3 linked regions of the Xenopus tropicalis genome follow. The protein of the gene in region 3 interacts with the protein of the main gene of each other region in a pairwise test. Links are inferred from orthologs where the notes say so. Each region holds a gene or a part of one and is shown on either strand. Other genes may lie near its edges.

Region 1 (5,581 bases), on a different chromosome or scaffold from region 3:
AAATTGTAAAGCATATGGTTTGGTGATCATGTTGGATTGACATAAAAGTAGGATGTAGTTGCATGGGTTGATCGGATGTGCAAACTACATGAAAGATATACCATTCAACACTAAACGTCTGTTGGAAGGGAATACGGCATGCTGCGTCTGCATCCAACAAGATAAAATCTGTGTCTAAAAGACTTTTTTTTCCTAGACGCAGTAACAACAACACATACTACCTGACTTTATCTGATCTGACTTATATTACAGATGTTGGGGATCAGATTTTGTAGGATCCTACAAAATCTTGTGCTGTTACGTGACAAGATTTAGTGGATCAGATAAAATTTGACCCACAAAATCTGATCATAATGTCCCGTGTAATTTAGCCGTTAGAGTACAGAAATTGCATGTGCTGGCTGTATGAGGAAAATACCCTAAAAAACACATAAAGGATTCTCTGTGATTCTCAGTGTTAACAATCACCTGAGCCACAAGGGCTCACAGAGATTGCCATTATAACGAATAGAAGGCAATTCCAAGCATTTTGTCACCCACAAAGCTGGAAATTGCTCAGGTGACAAAATGTCCTTTATAGCCCTATATGCCATTGATTTAACAGAACTAGCCAAGAATTCTAGCCAATCAATGCAACAGAAAAGATTTCTTAACCTTTTTCTTACTTAACTAAACCCTAAAAATGAATATGGCTAGAAATATCATATTTTAAATCCTGAGCTTAATGCACCATTCTAAAGGTTCAGCTTCTCTATAGGAGTAATGATCCAGGCCTCGAAAGTTGTCACAAGAGCTAGCCACCTTGAATTGTGTTGGACATGTTCAGTGACACTGCACATGCTCAGTGTGCTTTGAGCAGCTGTTGTGAAGCATTGCACATGCATTGCAAATTATAATGCAGAAAAATAGTTTTGCCTGTCATATAAGATAATGCTACAGGGCTGATCAATAATTTATGATGCTAATTGTGCTGGTCTCAGAGCTGCCATGTAATGTGAATTAATTACTAATCAGCCTTGTATTGTGAATGCTATATATACAGTATTGTGAGTAAAACCCTACACTCAGGGAAGTGACAGCAGCACACAGCATGTGTTGTAATTTAGCAGAAAAGAAGATGGAGAGCTACTGAGGGCATCTTCAGAGGAACAGATCTTCACTGCTAAAGGGCTGTGGTTGCCGTAGCATGGTACATAATAATACAAAACTTAATGTGCAGCATTTCTACCCTACTTCTTTGTTAAGTTTTAGTTCTCCTTCAAGAAATGGGATAGACTTGAATACTGGACTAAATTTATTTTCATTTTTTACTGTAGTAAGAAACATGCTTTGTGCGGTTTTAAATTACTAAGCTTAGGGACCGACACACAATATACTGTATGTATAGAGTATAAATGTCACAATATAAAGCTGATTAGTAATTAATACAGATAATTACTACATAGCAGCTCAGGAACCAGTGTAGTTTGTATCAAAACTTAATAATCAGCCCTGTAGCCCCAGGCCAACTTTATTATTTGCTTGATAATTTGCAACAACCTCTAGGCTTAGCTTCTCAACAGCTGTTTAGAGCACACTGAGCATGTGAGTGTCACAGACACTTTTTAAGATGGATCAAATTCAAGTCCTGCATCAACTTCATGTTTTTAATGTGAATAAGGACTTCTTTTAAACGATACTTGCCCAGCTGATGCAGAAAAAAAGGTGTTTTGAAAGCATTTTACCTCCTAAAACTGTCATTATATGAGAGCTGCAGAGACAACCTCTCAAGTCAGAAGCCAGAGTGAAATGAAGGTGGGAGTGTCGCTTCAGTCTCCCACAGGAAGTGTTCACAGCACTGACAGACAGGCTTTACTCAACAGTAGCAGGGAAAACCCATCCCAGTTTTCTCCTTCTGTGTCTCTCTGCTCCCTGGCTGCATAGTTTTGCTTGTGCTGCTGCCAGATCAGTAAGCTAGTTATTGATCAATAAGCATAGTTGTAAAATGTAAAAAAGTATAATAGTAAAATGTTCCTTTGTTAGTGGAATGGTATTTTTCAAAGCAAATGTGCACGATTCACAAATGAACGTGCCCAAGTGGACCTAACAATCTATAGTCCATAAAACATTGTTACACACTATGCAACTCCCTGCATCTATTATTAAATTATAAAAGATATACAAACAGTGCACATTAGTGTGTACTGTTATAGAAAAAAAAAGCAGTCTTTGTTTTTCTGCACATTGATACATGAGTACAGGGAGTTGCAGGTAAAACAAATCTGCAGTTGTTCTGGAACAGTATATGACCAGGTGCAGGGAGTTGCAGGTAAAACAAAGCTGCAGTTGTTGTTCTGGAACAGTATATGACCAGGTGCAGGTAAAACAAAGCTGCAGTTGTTGTTCTGGAACAGTATATGACCAGGTGCAGGGAGTTGCAGGGAATACATAGCTGCAGCTGTTGTTCTGCAACAGTATATGATCAGGTGCAGGGAATACAAAGCTGCAGCTGTTCTGGAACAGTATATGAACAGATGCAGGAAGTTGCAGAGAAAAAAGGTCACAGCTGTTATTCTGGAAATGCTTTTTTATTGCATGGACCTTCTACAAATTGTAAATTACCCCCACAAAATATTAAATGTTTTTAGTAGATTGTTTTTTTTTTCAATCATATTTGTTGTTGTTTTACCTTTTTCAGTTAACAGCAAGGCACAGAGTGAGAGGAACAATCAAAGCTGATTGGAGGAAGGTGAAGAACGATCTGAGAGACAGATGGAAACTATCAGGGTGGGTGGGACTGATCTGAGCATAGAGAGGGAGGCAGAGGGAACTGATCACTGGATCATAAGCGCTGTTGAGATGCTGAAACTTTAGACTGGTGCAGTAAGTCGAGTATATAAAATATGGCATGTTTAGCTTCCTCCGGGACCCCCCCTCCCCACCACACGTGCAAAGCACAAAAACCCAATGCAGGTGGGGAGCACCGAGAAATCCACTGTTGGGGTAAGAGATCCTGGACTAAGAGTAGGCGATAGAGGTACCTGCCTATTGCCCCCCAGGCAAGTGCCTCTTCTGCCTGTCCCTAATGGGACTTATTTTTGGGGTCCTGACCTTTGTGAAAATGTTCATGTTATCAGAATATTACCAACTGAATGTTTAAACAGCATACCTGACATCTGCAACAAGAACAGTATTAGAATGATAAAAAGTTTTTCTTTATACCAGCAACTGTACAATGTGGATCATTAGTGTAGTACATTATGTCATGAAGGAAATTTAACACATCAACAAAAAAAGGTTAAAGTCAATGGCCGTCGCTTTTCTAAACCTAAAGTAAAAGACTGGGCTGCAAAGTTTTATTTCAATACATACAATGGCTTTAGCTCTGCTAATTGCACAATAGCAATAAAGTGCCGAATTCCGGGAAAGTACGCAGCTTCCCTATTCACTGGGTATACACAACAGATAATGGCAATATGTATATAAAGCAATATGCTGAGAGCAGCCCCTTGGCACTACAGTATCTGCCTTTAGCCCCCACCTAGCGAAGCGTAAGGAAAATAGAGCAATACAATATTGTAAATGAGGATCGGATATGTTAGTTGGCAGTTACGGAGCAGTCATATTATACAAAGTAGGGTGCTGTAGTTCAACTGAACCTCATCCCATAGCGGAACCTCACGTTACCTCACATCTCCCCTTCCAGAAACACTTTAGAATAGTTTTTATAACGTTCCCACGCCCCCACTAATAAGTAGACAATTACTCTCTAAAGCTTCAATACCTTTAAGTTAACAGCCGGTAACTCCATATCCGTGACTCCTTTTGCCTTCCCTAAACTTCAGAAATTGCCTGCCCGACTGTACGCGCATCACGTGATGCCTCTTCCTAGCGGCTTTGCTCAACTAAGTCAGCGGGGTCACATGGGATTGTGAGCTGTCATGTGATATTGCAGCAATTGTTGGTTACACCGGTTTCATAATTGTGTTCTAGTTGAATAAATTGCCGGAGATATATATTTTTTGGCCACACATAAGCACGCGTGAAATTGAAACTCCATCCCCATGCGTGAAGTTAATATGAAAAAATGGTACCAAGTTCTTGGCTTTATTAAGGGTCTAAGAATCACAGTTCCTGTTTCCTACATGTACCTGACTTCAAGCAGAGTGGTGGTATAGGGTGTAATGTAAAACTCCTCAGTAGGGTAACCAGATCACTTGAGGGACGTGTCTAAAAAATCCAGGTAACAGGCTAACCTGATTGCAGTTTAGTTTAAATGCGAACAGTAATGTCCTGCAACGTGTATTTATTATATGTCCCTGAATATACAAGTGATCTGCTCAGAGGGTTTAATGCAATCCCTTCATAGCATTGGTGCCATGTTGTACAAACTGGCTGTGCTTCACATTGTTTGGGTGTGTGACAATCGTTTCAGTCATTAGGATTGCAACCTGGAAACTTTTTACTCCACCACCACACTAGAAAACTGGGCTGCTAGGATGGGTTTATTTCAAGAGACATATATCAAAATTATGAATGTACCAGTGAATTATACTCCTTTTAAATATATAAGGATTGTGCTTAAAAAAAGTTAGTGTTTCGGACTGACTTATTGAGAAATTCCGCCAAAACCCCACTAGTCCTGCCTGCTTGTTCCACTTCCTGCTGGCTGAATTCATACCTCCCAACATCTGAAAAATAAAAAGAGGGACAAAAAGATTTGGTGCGCGCAGCGTGGCAATTTTTGACCACGCCCACTTTTGTGGCCACGCCCCATTAAAAAATACTCCTTTAATATAGTTGAAATGGCGGGATCAGACGCAAATGTGCTATACCCTCATACTGTACTACCTAAGGAAAACAATATAGCAACTCCTACATATAAAATACAAATAAAGAGAGGAGGCAGTCAGTTATAAGTGAGTTATAACTATGTACCAGTTTTACCCCCCATACACAATGCCCCCAATGGCCCAATAGACAGTACCCCAATTGCCCCCATAGAAAGTACCCCCCCATACACAATTCCCCCATAGACTGTACCCCCCATACACAATGCCCCCATAGTAAGTGCTCCCATACACAGTAGCCCCCATAGGCACTCCAGCTTATTCTGCTGCTCTGCTCCTTATATGGCAGCGACAGGCCCTTTTATAAGGTTGCGCAACCTTATAAGGGACGCAACCTTATAAAAGGGCCTGTCGCCGCCGTACAAGGAGCGGCATAAGAAGCCGGAGCAGCAGAAGTAGCTGGAGCGCCCGGTTCCAGCCAGCGCATCCCGCTGTGCTGGATAGTTCAATGAATTTCCCGCACTTCCGTAATCTATTCGGATGGGCTGAAATAAAGCTGCTACAAAAAGAACGCAAACTCGCTCAGTCACGATGTCACAAGATGGCACAGATTACAATGAGACATGTAACAGTGCCTGGGACAAGCAAATGAGAAACAGCTGCTCGCAGGTTAGAACAGTTTGCACGAGCCCCACTACCCCAAGGCTCCCCAAATGGCAGGTTCCCCACAATACCCATGCCACCACCGAGCACAGAGACCACAGAGGCCTCACTCACGCCAAATGTGCATACAATACCAAACCAACCAACGC
Region 2 (5,660 bases), about 3.1 Mb from region 3:
GGCAGGGCAGTGCTACTTTTCCCCCCAGGTTGGTGCATGTTGTTTCCTAAGGGGCAACAGCCTGGGAGGAAAATGTAATTGGTTTAGCTGGGGTTTCCTAATAGACTAGATAGGACTTTCCTTGCCATTTAAGATAGGTATTCACAAACAGATCTGCTCTTTGCGAAACAAGCAGATTTTACCTGAATTGGCCATACACAGTGGGCTAAATTAGCCTAATCTGATCATTTGTCCCCTGGGCCAAACATTGAAAAATAATAAATGCCTATAGATAGTTTGGTAGAGCACCACATAATAGGGCTTTTGTGCCCCCAATGCGACTGGTAGCTAATATAAGCCTGTGTATGGTCAGCTTTGCCCCACACACAATGTATTTGCTTCAGAAGCACTTGTATCATTTGTATAAATAAGCTGTTATCTGGTGACAGGGTTATTCAAGTTTCAGTAGGGCTGAGTGCAGGGTCTATATTTGCATAGCAGATAAGCAGTTTACAATATACTGATTAGAGGAAGTATTTTCAACAGTGACAAATAAACAACAGTTAAGCTGAAAACATATTCTGCCTATAACAGCATTTGTATTTTTTATTTACAAAGCACTACTAGATAATTGTTTTGACACTTACTATATCCTGCTCCCTCTCCCTATAATCAGCTAAGTTAGTTTAACCTGAGAGAATGAGCTCTGTATAAACTAAGGATGCACCAGATCTATAAATGCTGGATTTGGCCATTACCGAATCTCCACATAAGATTTGGCAGAATAACTGAGCCCTTATTTACATGTTCAATATTAAGAAAAGCATTTTTAAAAAATTGCATCAATTACAAAAACCAACAAAAGTGCTGCATTCACATGGTTTGGATTCCATTCGGCCAAACACTTAGGTTTGTTTAGGATTCAACCCTTTTTGTTGTGTCTGTTTTGGCTTACAGATAAGAGGAATACCATTAGGCTACTGTGAAGGAAACCACTATGCTCCGAACCGCCCCATGGTCTAAAGGAGAAGGAAAGGTAAAGTCACTGGGGGGTGCCAAAATGTTAGGTACCCCCCAGTGATTGTAACTGCTTACCTGATACCCCAGGCTGGTGCTCCTGTTAGAAGAAAACGACACCAGCCCAGGGTAGATGTGAGACGGTGATACTCTTCCTTCTCTAGTCTATTTTGGGAATCCCATGGCCACGCATGACAGTACAGTGAAAAAAATTGCTTTTTTGTTAAAGTTCAGCTTTTCACTCTACTGCCCGTGCGCTTATGACAAACATACTTTTTGCAGATTGTTTTAAAAGAGACATACAGGATAAAAAGTAAGCAATTATGAATAATATATGGTGCTGGTTTCACTCTGGGCTAAAAGTAAACACTATCTTTAAAAATGGCCCATTTATTGGAGTTCTCTATAGATCTGCTAAGGTACCAGTCTGTGTTTCAAATGAGTTGTGGGAGTATCCTAACAGTCCAGTCTTGTGTGACTGCAGGACTGTGTTTGGCTAACCCCCTCCTACTGTGGTTCTGACAGGCTTCATTTCCCTATCAGGTCAGCCCGGCCCTAGTGGCTGATCTGTTCTCTTCAGTGCAGTGTGCCAAGTGCGCCGTCCCCCCTGCACAGCCTGGGAAAGGAAAAAGTAGGAAGTGGAACAGATGGGCGGGACTAGAGGGGTTTTTGAAGAAATTTTCAATAAATCAGCCAAAAATGCTACTTTTTAAAGCACATTCTTTCTATATTCAGATGAATACAATTCATTGCCACAATATTGTTTTTCACGCAATATGTCCCTTTTAATGACTGGGCAAAGAGGGAGAGTGAAGCTACACCATGTTTGGTCCTTGTAAGGTGGATAATTAGATTACTAGTGCACATAAGCAGGGGGATAAGCAGATGAGCATTATTCAGGGAGAAATTTAATTATCAGCCTAACAAGGACCAAACATTGAGTAGCTTTAATTTCCCAGTTTGCCCTGTTTAACTCAAAAAATAACAAAAACAATAGATTTTTGTGATTAAAACAATAGGCTAAAAGTATGTTCAGCACAAACCTTATTAATTGCGCTCATGTTGAACAAAGGAGCGAACTGGCCGTTTAAAAACCCATGGCCTTATGCAGAGGGTTTATCAGTGTACTATTAGAGCTGTGGTAGACGGGGAGATTAGTCGCTAATCTTTGTTGCCACGGGCGATTAATCTCCCCGCAATCGCTGGTGGGATGGCATACGCGTCACTACGATTTCCTGAAGTCACCCAAAGTTTCCTCTCAAGAGCAACTTTGGGAAATCGTAGCGACGCGTATGCCATCCCACCAGCGATTTACATTCTTGGAGGTGGGATGGCACTGTGGGGAGATTAGTTGTCCACGGCAATGAAGATTTGTCACAGGGCAACTAATCTCCCCGTCTGCCACTGCCCTTAGGGCTGTGACACACGGGGAGATTAGCCCCAAAAACTCAAGCGACTTCGGCAAATCGCGGTGCTGCATATGCCATCCCACCAGCATTTTACATTCTAGCCAGTGGGATGGCATTTCGGGGACATTAGTCTGGAAGACACACAGAGCTACTAGTAGCAGCTACTTGAAACGGCTACAGACAATGCTGATCATTTCCTGATAATTGTCTCTATGAGTGTTTTAGCAGAGGCAATTCTCAGTATTGTCTATAGCAGGGTATTTTCTTGCATTTAGTAGTTGTGACCAATAGCTGCTACTAAGTAGCTCCATGTGTCTTCAGCCTTAATCCAATATGATTCCTAGTGCTAAGCTTGCTTTTTCGTTAGTGGCCTTGTGCCGCCTCCTGCTCCCCCATCACAGGAAGTGACATGGGTAATGGGCACAATTATTACCGTAATATTTCTCAGCTATTGAGACTTTGGCCCACTTCTAAAGTCAAGCGCCTCCACTGAAAGTAATAACGAAAAGAGGTCTGCCCAGTTTTGGTTAAGAAATAACACCCAATCAGATTTTTAATACTGCTTCTTTTATCAATAAATCTTTAATTCCAGGTTCTTGACAAACAGACAGAACCACTAAATGTAAATAAAACACTGTCACTGTATGGTGTTAGTGGCACTAAGTTACTCCCACAGAGCTTTCCTTGAGTACATATGGACTGAGGGACTATCGTATGAGGCTTTATATCCCCCTATACTTATCAGGCCCAACAGCTGCAGGTAAGAATTACAGAAATGGCAGAATTATCCCTACCGAGTGCACCTGATGTAACCCAGCAGACAGACAGACAGACAGACAGACAGCCATCACCACAAACTCAGCCATTTACCTTGGCAGCTTTATCCACTTTATCCTGATTTTCCGGCTGATAGACAAACACAGAAGCAGGACGCCCCTCCGCTAGGAGAGCCGGGTATATAGTGAGCCCAGATGGTTGAGTCCAGGGAGGATCTTGGAGAGTAAATCCTCGCAGGGAGCTGTTCTCCGAGCCCATAATACTGCAGCTGTATGGAGGGATCCCTACCCTGAAGCCTGCCAGCGGTGCGTATATACCGTCCTTATGCCTAGAAAATGACTGCACCCCGGGGCCAGGCCTGTGCCTTCCGTACAGTACCGCAGCCTAAAGCATTGCAGCTCAGGGAGCCGGTATGTCTCACTCAGGGAGAAAGCCCTGGGGACGCGTTCCTTAGCAGCCACAACAGCCACCCAGGCTCCAGTGACAGACAGCTCATTCCTTCTTCCTCCTAACCCGGAAATGCTCGCTATCCGTCCCACAAGCCGCCAACCCTTCCGAGCAGCCGCTAGCAAGAGCCGGGGGAGCATGTGATTGGCTCAAACTGAGGACACGCCCTCCTGTATCTCTAGCACTGCCAGAAGCGGAAGGTAAATTCTAATGCCGGAACGGACTTTCCCTAATGTTATGGTCACATGGCTGGGAGTGGGAGGAGTGAGGCTTAGTATTGGACAGGAAAAGTCGGGTGAAGGCGCGGTTTCATTTAAACAAGTTAGTGGTGGTTTATACCCTGCAAATGGCATTTCTGGAGGATTTCAGGGCCGCAATGGCTTACCGAAACTTTGCCCCCCCCATGAACGCAAGCGCAGTACCGAAATGTGGCCACGTCCCTTGTGTGCGATATAAACGGCTAATGTTACTGTATAATAAGCAGTTCATATACAGCGTTCCACTGAGTAAAGTGCTAGTAATTCAGTCAATTCATTGGGGGGTCAACAGAGTTTGCCATAAGTTTAACCCTTTCCTGCACCTGCTCTGCGCTGTCATTGATTAATATGGAAGTTGTGTACAGTTTTGTATAAGTTACGTAAACTGTCAAAACCTGTCACTTTTTCTTACACAATATTGCCAAAATCCGTCCCTTTCTCTCTACTGTAACAGCTAGGCTGCTCATGCATGCTCTCATCCTATCCTGACTTGCCTACTGTAACCTGCTACTAACCGGCCTCCCTAACGCCCATCTTTCCCCCTACAGTCTGTATTAAATACTGCTGCCTGAATTCTCCTCCTCTCCAGGAGAGTTCAGGCCCTTCCCCTGCTAAAGGCCTTATCGTGGCTTCCTATTAAACAAAGAATATCTTACAAACTCCTCTTAACCTTCAAAGCCCTCCATTCCTCTGCTCCTCACTACATCTCTTCTCTTGTGTCTCCGTATGTTCCTGGCCGACTCCTTCGTTCCTCGCAGAGCAATTGTTTGGTTGCGCCCCCCACTACTACTGCTGTTTCCCACCTCAAACCTTTCTGCCTTGCTGCCCCTTACATTTGGAATGCCCTCCCTGATTTCCTCCGGAGAGAATCCTCCCTCAGTCTTTTTAAAACTTAACTTAAAGACTGCCTTTTGGAGCACTCACCCAGCACCTGATCTGGGAACCAGCACTTATATTGTAGTGTCACCCACTGTGACCTACAGCACTTATATTTGCCTATTTGTGTCTGTAAGTTATCCTCCCATATAGATTGTAAGCTCTACGGGGCTGGGACCTCCATCCTCTTGTGTCTTTGACTTATTGCAACTGTATTTATGTTGTATCTATCTGTATTTATTGTTTTACTTTTTATTTATCTATTATTATCTTAATAACCCGGTTTGTATTAATGTATTTTACTGTACAGCGCTGCGTACATAAGTAGCGCTTTATAAATAAAGATATACATACATACATACATAAACTACCTAAGTTTAGGGGCCCAATAACTAGTCAGTAGTAGTTCATAAAAATAAATGTGCTAATAAGTCAGTATTTTAATTGGGGGGGGCAGTGGAGTTTATACGTAAGTTACAAAAGTGTAGGGACCCATAGGGTTAATCTGCCCCTATGGCTTTAAACCCTACAACTCCCTAGTTTATGTTACTGGGCAAATACCCATGTATCCAGTTTATAGTTTTGCATATGTGCCATATTGGTTTACAGGTTGACTCCACCCTTTGCACTCCAATATAGTGTTTAGCTGTGTCTCAGGTCCACTGAGCCTGGGATCAACAGGGCCTCAATAAAGCCATAATTTACCCTAGAGTCACCAACTACTCTAGTGAAGTCAGGGACAGGGACCCAGTGAAGGAGGACCAGTTAGTTACTCTTTTAGAGCACTTTCTAGGAAAGTGAGATAGAGAGGGAAGGAAAGCCTTTTCAGAGTGGTTATTCGCACGCGATAGCAGAGATCTATCGTGCATGACTCAACCACCCCGTGGGTTCTTGCCCT
Region 3 (5,701 bases):
GAAGAATGGACCAGGCTGCAGCAGTCCCTGCTCATATGTTTGATAGCCAGCAAAGGAATCAGTATCTCGGCATGCCCTCAGTGACTAAAGGTGGCCATACATTTTGCGACCTGCTTATTTGGCGACTTTACCAAACCAGCAGATCTTCTCCCAATCTGCCCATCTAAGGTGGCCAATATCAGGCTAATTCAATAGTTTAGCTCTCAATTGAATTAAAACAGCGGGTATAGGTGCCATCGGCTCACGGACTGCATCAATGAGCTGACGTTGTCCCTGATGCAATGGAAAAATTAATCCTGTCCGACTGAGATCTAGCCAGGTTTAAGCCAGATGTTGGTTGGGTAGGCCCGTCGGCGGTCCCCATACAGGGGCAGATAAGCTGCCCAATTGGTTTGAAGGCCACCTTTACAAGTAAAGCTCAGGGAATGCAATCTTATAAGTTCCCCTTTCACAAAATATGGCTGTAGCACTTGCTGAGGTGTACGAAAACAAAGAATGTCTTCCCTTTGGCTTTAAGCTCTGAATCAGATTTACTTCATAGTATGGGATAAGAAAAGATCACAATAGGGTGCCCCTATATGGGAACTATTTTGGACATTCCTCACTAAATTAAAAGGTCATTGGCCTGCATCTATGTCATGTGCAAACAGGACTCTCATTACTAACTGTACATGATTGTTACATATCATTATGTACACCGCTACCAAATATTTTGGTGCTTCATCTGATTGGACTTGTTCATATATCAACAGCACCAGACATACAACACGGATTCCAAAAAAGTTGGGACACTAAACAAATTGTGAATAAAAACTGAATGCAATGATGTGGAGGTGCCAACTTCTAATATTTTATTCAGAATAGAACATAAATCACGGAACAAAAGTTTAAACTGAGAAAATGTACCATTTTAAGGGAAAAATATGTTGATTCAGAATTTCATGGTGTCAACAAATCTCAAAAAAGTTGGGACAAGGCCATTTTCACCACTGTGTGGCATCTCCCCTTCTTCTTACAACACTCAACAGACGTCTGGGGACCGAGGAGACCAGTTTCTCAAGTTTAGGAATAGGAATGCTCTCCCATTCTTGTCTAATACAGGCCTCTAACTGTTCAATCGTCTTGTGCCTTCTTTGTCGCACCTTCCTCTTTATGACGCGCCAAATGTTCTCTATAGGTGAAAGATCTGGACTGCAGACTGGCCATTTCAGTACCCAGATCCTTCTCCTACGCAGCCATGATGTTGTGTTTGATGCAGAATGTGGTCTGGCATTATCTTGTTGAAAAATGCAGGGTCATCCCTGAAAGAGATGACGTCTGGATGGGAGCATATGTTGTTCTAGAACCTGAATATATTTTTCTGCATTGATGCTGCCTTTCCAGACATGCAAGCTGCCCATGCCACACGCACTCATGCAACCCCATACCATCACAGATGCAGGCTTCTGAACTGAGCGTTGATAACAACTTGGGTTGTCCTTGTCCTCTTTGGTCCGGATGACATGGCGTCCCAGATTTCCAAAAAGAACTTCGAATCGTGACTCGTCTGACCACAGAACAGTCTTCCATTTTGCCACACTCCATTTTAAATGATCCCTGGCCCAGTGAAAACGCCTGAGCTTGTGGATCTTGCTTAGAAATGGCTTCTTCTTTGCACTGTAGAGTTTCAGCTGGCAACGGCGGATGGCACGGTGGATTGTGTTCACTGACAATGGTTTCTGGAAGTATTCCTGAGCCCATTCTGTGATTTCCTTTAAAGTAGCATTCCTGTTTGTGGTGCAGTGTCGTTTAAGGGCCCGGAGATCACGGGCATCCAGTATGGTTTTACGGCCTTGACCCTTACGCACAGAGATTGTTCCAGATTCTCTGAATCTTCGGATGATGTTATGCACAGTTGATGATGATAGATGCAAAATCTTTGCAATTTTTCGCTGGGTAACACCTTTCTGATATTGCTCCACTATCTTTCTGCACAACATTGTGGGAATTGGTGATCCTCTACCCATCTTGGCTTCTGAGAGACACTGCCACTCTGAGAAGCTCTTTTTATACCCAATCATGTTGCCAATTGACCTAATTAGTGTTATTTGGTCTTCCAGCTCTTCGTTATGCTCAAATTTACTTTTTCCAGCCTCTTATTGCTACTTGTCCCAACTTTTTTGGGATTTGTTGACACCATGAAATTCTGAATCAACATATTTTTCCCTCAAAATGGTACATTTTCTCAGTTGAAACTTTTGTACCGTGATTTATGTTCTATTCTGAATAAAATATTAGCAGTTGGCACCTCCACATCATTGCGTTCAGTTTTTATTCACAATTTGTTTAGTGTCCCAACTTTTTTGGAATCCGGGTTGTATAATAGTTATAACTAAGAACCACATTGATTTGTGTATTCAATGTAATTGTATTTATTATTAGATGCAGGCTGATTAGGCATCCTACCCCCTAACCTGTGCATCATTCAGACTGCTCTATGCCAGGTGATAAGTACCTTTGTGCTCTGCTTCTTGCGCCAGATTTTGATCTGGCACAAGGAGCAGAATATAGCTTTCCCCTGGGGAAAAGTGCTTCTTACGCAAGTGGCAATCTCTTACGCACCCCTAATCCTAATCACTAGATTAACTCCAGAAGATCATTTATTTATGAAAACTTCACTTTATGGAGAACTTAAAACAGATAAATATAGCTTTCTACTCCCAAACTGCTAATGCTATTAGTTTATTAGTTTTTTTTTTTCAACTTTTTTCAATTTACAGTACCTTCTCCTACTGGTTCTTGGGTACAAAGATAAATCAAAATACATTTCCAAGGGTCTTCTAAATAACTGAATAGCCAATATGCATAGGATTACTGAACCATGAGGCACGTAAAGACCCTAAAACTGACAGTGCATACAATTTTTCATGGTTGAAACCTTGGCCAGTGCAAACACAACACATACTCTACATTTCATGTTATTGTAAAAGCCAAGTAACCAGTAAGTTAACAAACACAAACCAAACATACAGGAAAACTACACCTTCTGCACAATGCAAAATAATACAGTATGCATTTATTTATACACAGAAACAGCTCCTGACCTTGTGCTCTGCACTGTCATTTGTAAGTGATCATTGTGATGATTTAGTCACACTGGGTAATAAAACAATTTTAGGGCAAAACAACACTCACAAAATGTTCAAACTGTGTGTGCACTTGCCCAAGTTGTGTGTGCATGCCAGTGTGCAGCGAGTGTGCAACAAAACCCCCAAACCTATTATAGAAATTGTAGAAAAGTTGTGTAGAAATTGTATGAGTACAGTACCTTTCTTCAGGCAGGCGGAGGAACTGGTCAGGGACCGCTGGAGGGTTCCACATGCACCGGAAGAATTCCTGGAGTGGGCGTGAGTGGGGGTGGGGCTGGGGGTGGGGCTGGAGCCGTAGCAGAAAGGCCTATAACAGTCACATGGTTGTGACGTAGCTGCTGCTGTCTTTGGCTCATGTTATGGTTTTAATTTGTCTGCATAAAAACAGTACAGCCTTAGTGCAAATGCTAATAAACAGCCATGTAGTTGCTAACATGCACTTCAGAAACTTTCTCCTTTGTGATCCCACAAACAGTACTCGCCACTTCCTTCTCTCCTGTAATACTCCTCCCACCAGCCTGCCCTTGTGCAGCACAGAAACATTACTTCCTTATCAGCTTCAGAAGGGCAAATCATTCTTTCTTCCCGAATCACTCAGCTGCTCTGGCTGACCAATAAAAAACGCTCTTCACAGTTGAAGTACAGAGCTTTGGCTGGTGTGAATATGTGATTAGCTAATGCTCTATTTATTACAGCGTTGAAGTTGGTTTCTTGTTCAGTCAGTGAGTAAGTAACTGGGTTTTAAAGAAATAAATGACCTTGGGCCACGGATTTAAAAGTTCACATTCATTGTCAGAGATGCCCTACATAAACTACATTTGTGCCAGCCTGGTTCGAAACGGTTCTGGGCAGGAACATTGCCACCAAAGGGGTAATAGCTTCTTATTTGGTCTGATGAATAAGTAACTAATGATTTAAAGTGGCATCAATGTGGATATCCTTGCAGTTCTATCTATTTGAATAAGCAACGGGGTGCTAAAGGGTTTAAGTGCCCTTGTGCCACTGATTTCAACCCATATATTTGCAGGTAGGGGTGCCAGCGGGGTAGTCTAAAGCCAGCGGGGTCCACACTCACAAAAAAAAGAAGAAGAAAAAGATACCATGTGTACTGCCACCCCCTGGAAGCTGCTGCCTCCTTCCACCTCCTTCTGCCAATTCAGCCCTGAAGACAGATTTTGCTCAGGCGCCTTCTGTGGTGCCCGATCAAAATCTTTTAACCCACCCGATTGGTGAGTCGACCAATATCAGCAGCATCCTGCGATATCGGTTGACTCACCGACTTGCCATACACGAGGTTTCGTAAGATATTATCGGTGCGTGTATGGCCAGCTTTAGAGTGGATACGGCCCTGGCTGTAAATTCTATTGTCCCAAAGGTTATTGCATACCTCCCAACTGTCCCGATTTTCGCAGGACAGTCCCTCTTTTGACAGCTCAACCCACAGTCCTGGATTCTTACTGAAAAGTCCCTCATTTCCCTTGATCTCCTGCACTGAAGCTAAAAAAGATAAAAATTTAATTAAAAGTAGCTTTTGGCAGAGAGCCCAGAAAGCTAAACAAGCTTCACCTGCACTTAGATACATTGTTTCTCACATTTAATTAAACAAGTGGGCTTTTGGCAGAGAGCCCAGAAAGGTAAAAAGCCACACCTGCGCTGAGATACAATTGTAACTAATAAGCTAAAATGGTCTCTTAGGGGAACTGAGACTTGCAGCTTAAAGGGCAACTTCACCTTTTTTTTTTTTTTTTTTTTAGCAAAACTGTAATAACACATAAAACAGGACCCCACAACCCCCAGAAATGTGTTCAAACTTTAAATAACCTGCCAAATTTAGTCAAATTGGAGTGGTATTTAGGGGGTGTGGTCAAAAAAATTGCCACGCTGCGCACACCATTTGTTTTTGTCCCTCTTTCCGTATTCAAAATGTTGGGAGGTATGTTATTGGGTTCTTAGGTGCGTTTATTGTGTATGTATATATACTGTATACAGTAGTGTGGATGAAAGCAAAGTCTAAAAACATTTATTTCCTGCCTGTTTCTCCAGCAGATGACCCTAAACATGCCCGGGCAAAATTAGCAGCTTCAACTCAATAGCATTCAATAATAGGTAAACTTGCTTTTTTAACATGATGATACATGTCATCCTCTATAGTTGAAACGGGATTACTATACATTAGGGAGTAATGTAAAATATATCTGGCCTAGTTAACATTAATTTGCCTATAAAAAGCATTTTTAAGCAGCAAACTGCAGATGCCAAACTCCCCAATAACTAATGCTGAATGCAAGACATATCGTACTGTACATTCTTTAAAAGTATTCAGAGTTTGTTTTTATACATCTGGGGAATGAACCAAGTGCCACTGTTAAGTCCCTCTTGTTGTTTAGTGAGAGTGCTTGGTGTTTGTGTTAAATCCTGCAGCCTCCTGCTGAATCAGCACTTGTAAACAGAATCCTACACCAAGGCATTATGATTTTAGTGACCTTTCTCATCATGTGACACAAAAGGAATCTCAGAATCTCAGATTTCAAAAGCTCATATATATAACAAGTCCTCATAGAGACATGGCATTA

The links. The genes of interacting proteins can lie anywhere in the genome.
Region 1: the proteins of txn2 (region 3) and agtrap interact in binary tests that used the Homo sapiens proteins (3 or more experiments, as listed by UniProt). The two-hybrid records come from large-scale screens. The link is inferred for Xenopus tropicalis from reciprocal best matches to the Homo sapiens genes TXN2 and AGTRAP.
Region 2: the proteins of txn2 (region 3) and scyl3 interact in binary tests that used the Homo sapiens proteins (3 or more experiments, as listed by UniProt). The two-hybrid records come from large-scale screens. The link is inferred for Xenopus tropicalis from reciprocal best matches to the Homo sapiens genes TXN2 and SCYL3.

What each region holds. Positions count from the first base shown.
Region 1 is NC_030683.2:65,681,002-65,686,582, reverse strand, and holds the start of agtrap (type-1 angiotensin II receptor-associated protein-like), read right to left. Parts: upstream 3,829-5,581; 5' UTR 3,791-3,828; coding exon 3,764-3,790; intron 1-3,763. UniProt on the Homo sapiens protein: Appears to be a negative regulator of type-1 angiotensin II receptor-mediated signaling by regulating receptor internalization as well as mechanism of receptor desensitization such as phosphorylation.
Region 2 is NC_030680.2:118,611,305-118,616,964, reverse strand, and holds the start of scyl3 (protein-associating with the carboxyl-terminal domain of ezrin), read right to left. Parts: upstream 3,829-5,660; 5' UTR 3,441-3,828; coding exon 3,276-3,440; intron 1-3,275. UniProt on the Homo sapiens protein: May play a role in regulating cell adhesion/migration complexes in migrating cells.
Region 3 is NC_030680.2:115,531,932-115,537,632, forward strand, and holds the start of txn2 (thioredoxin, mitochondrial), read right to left. Parts: upstream 3,371-5,701; 5' UTR 3,308-3,370; intron 1-3,307.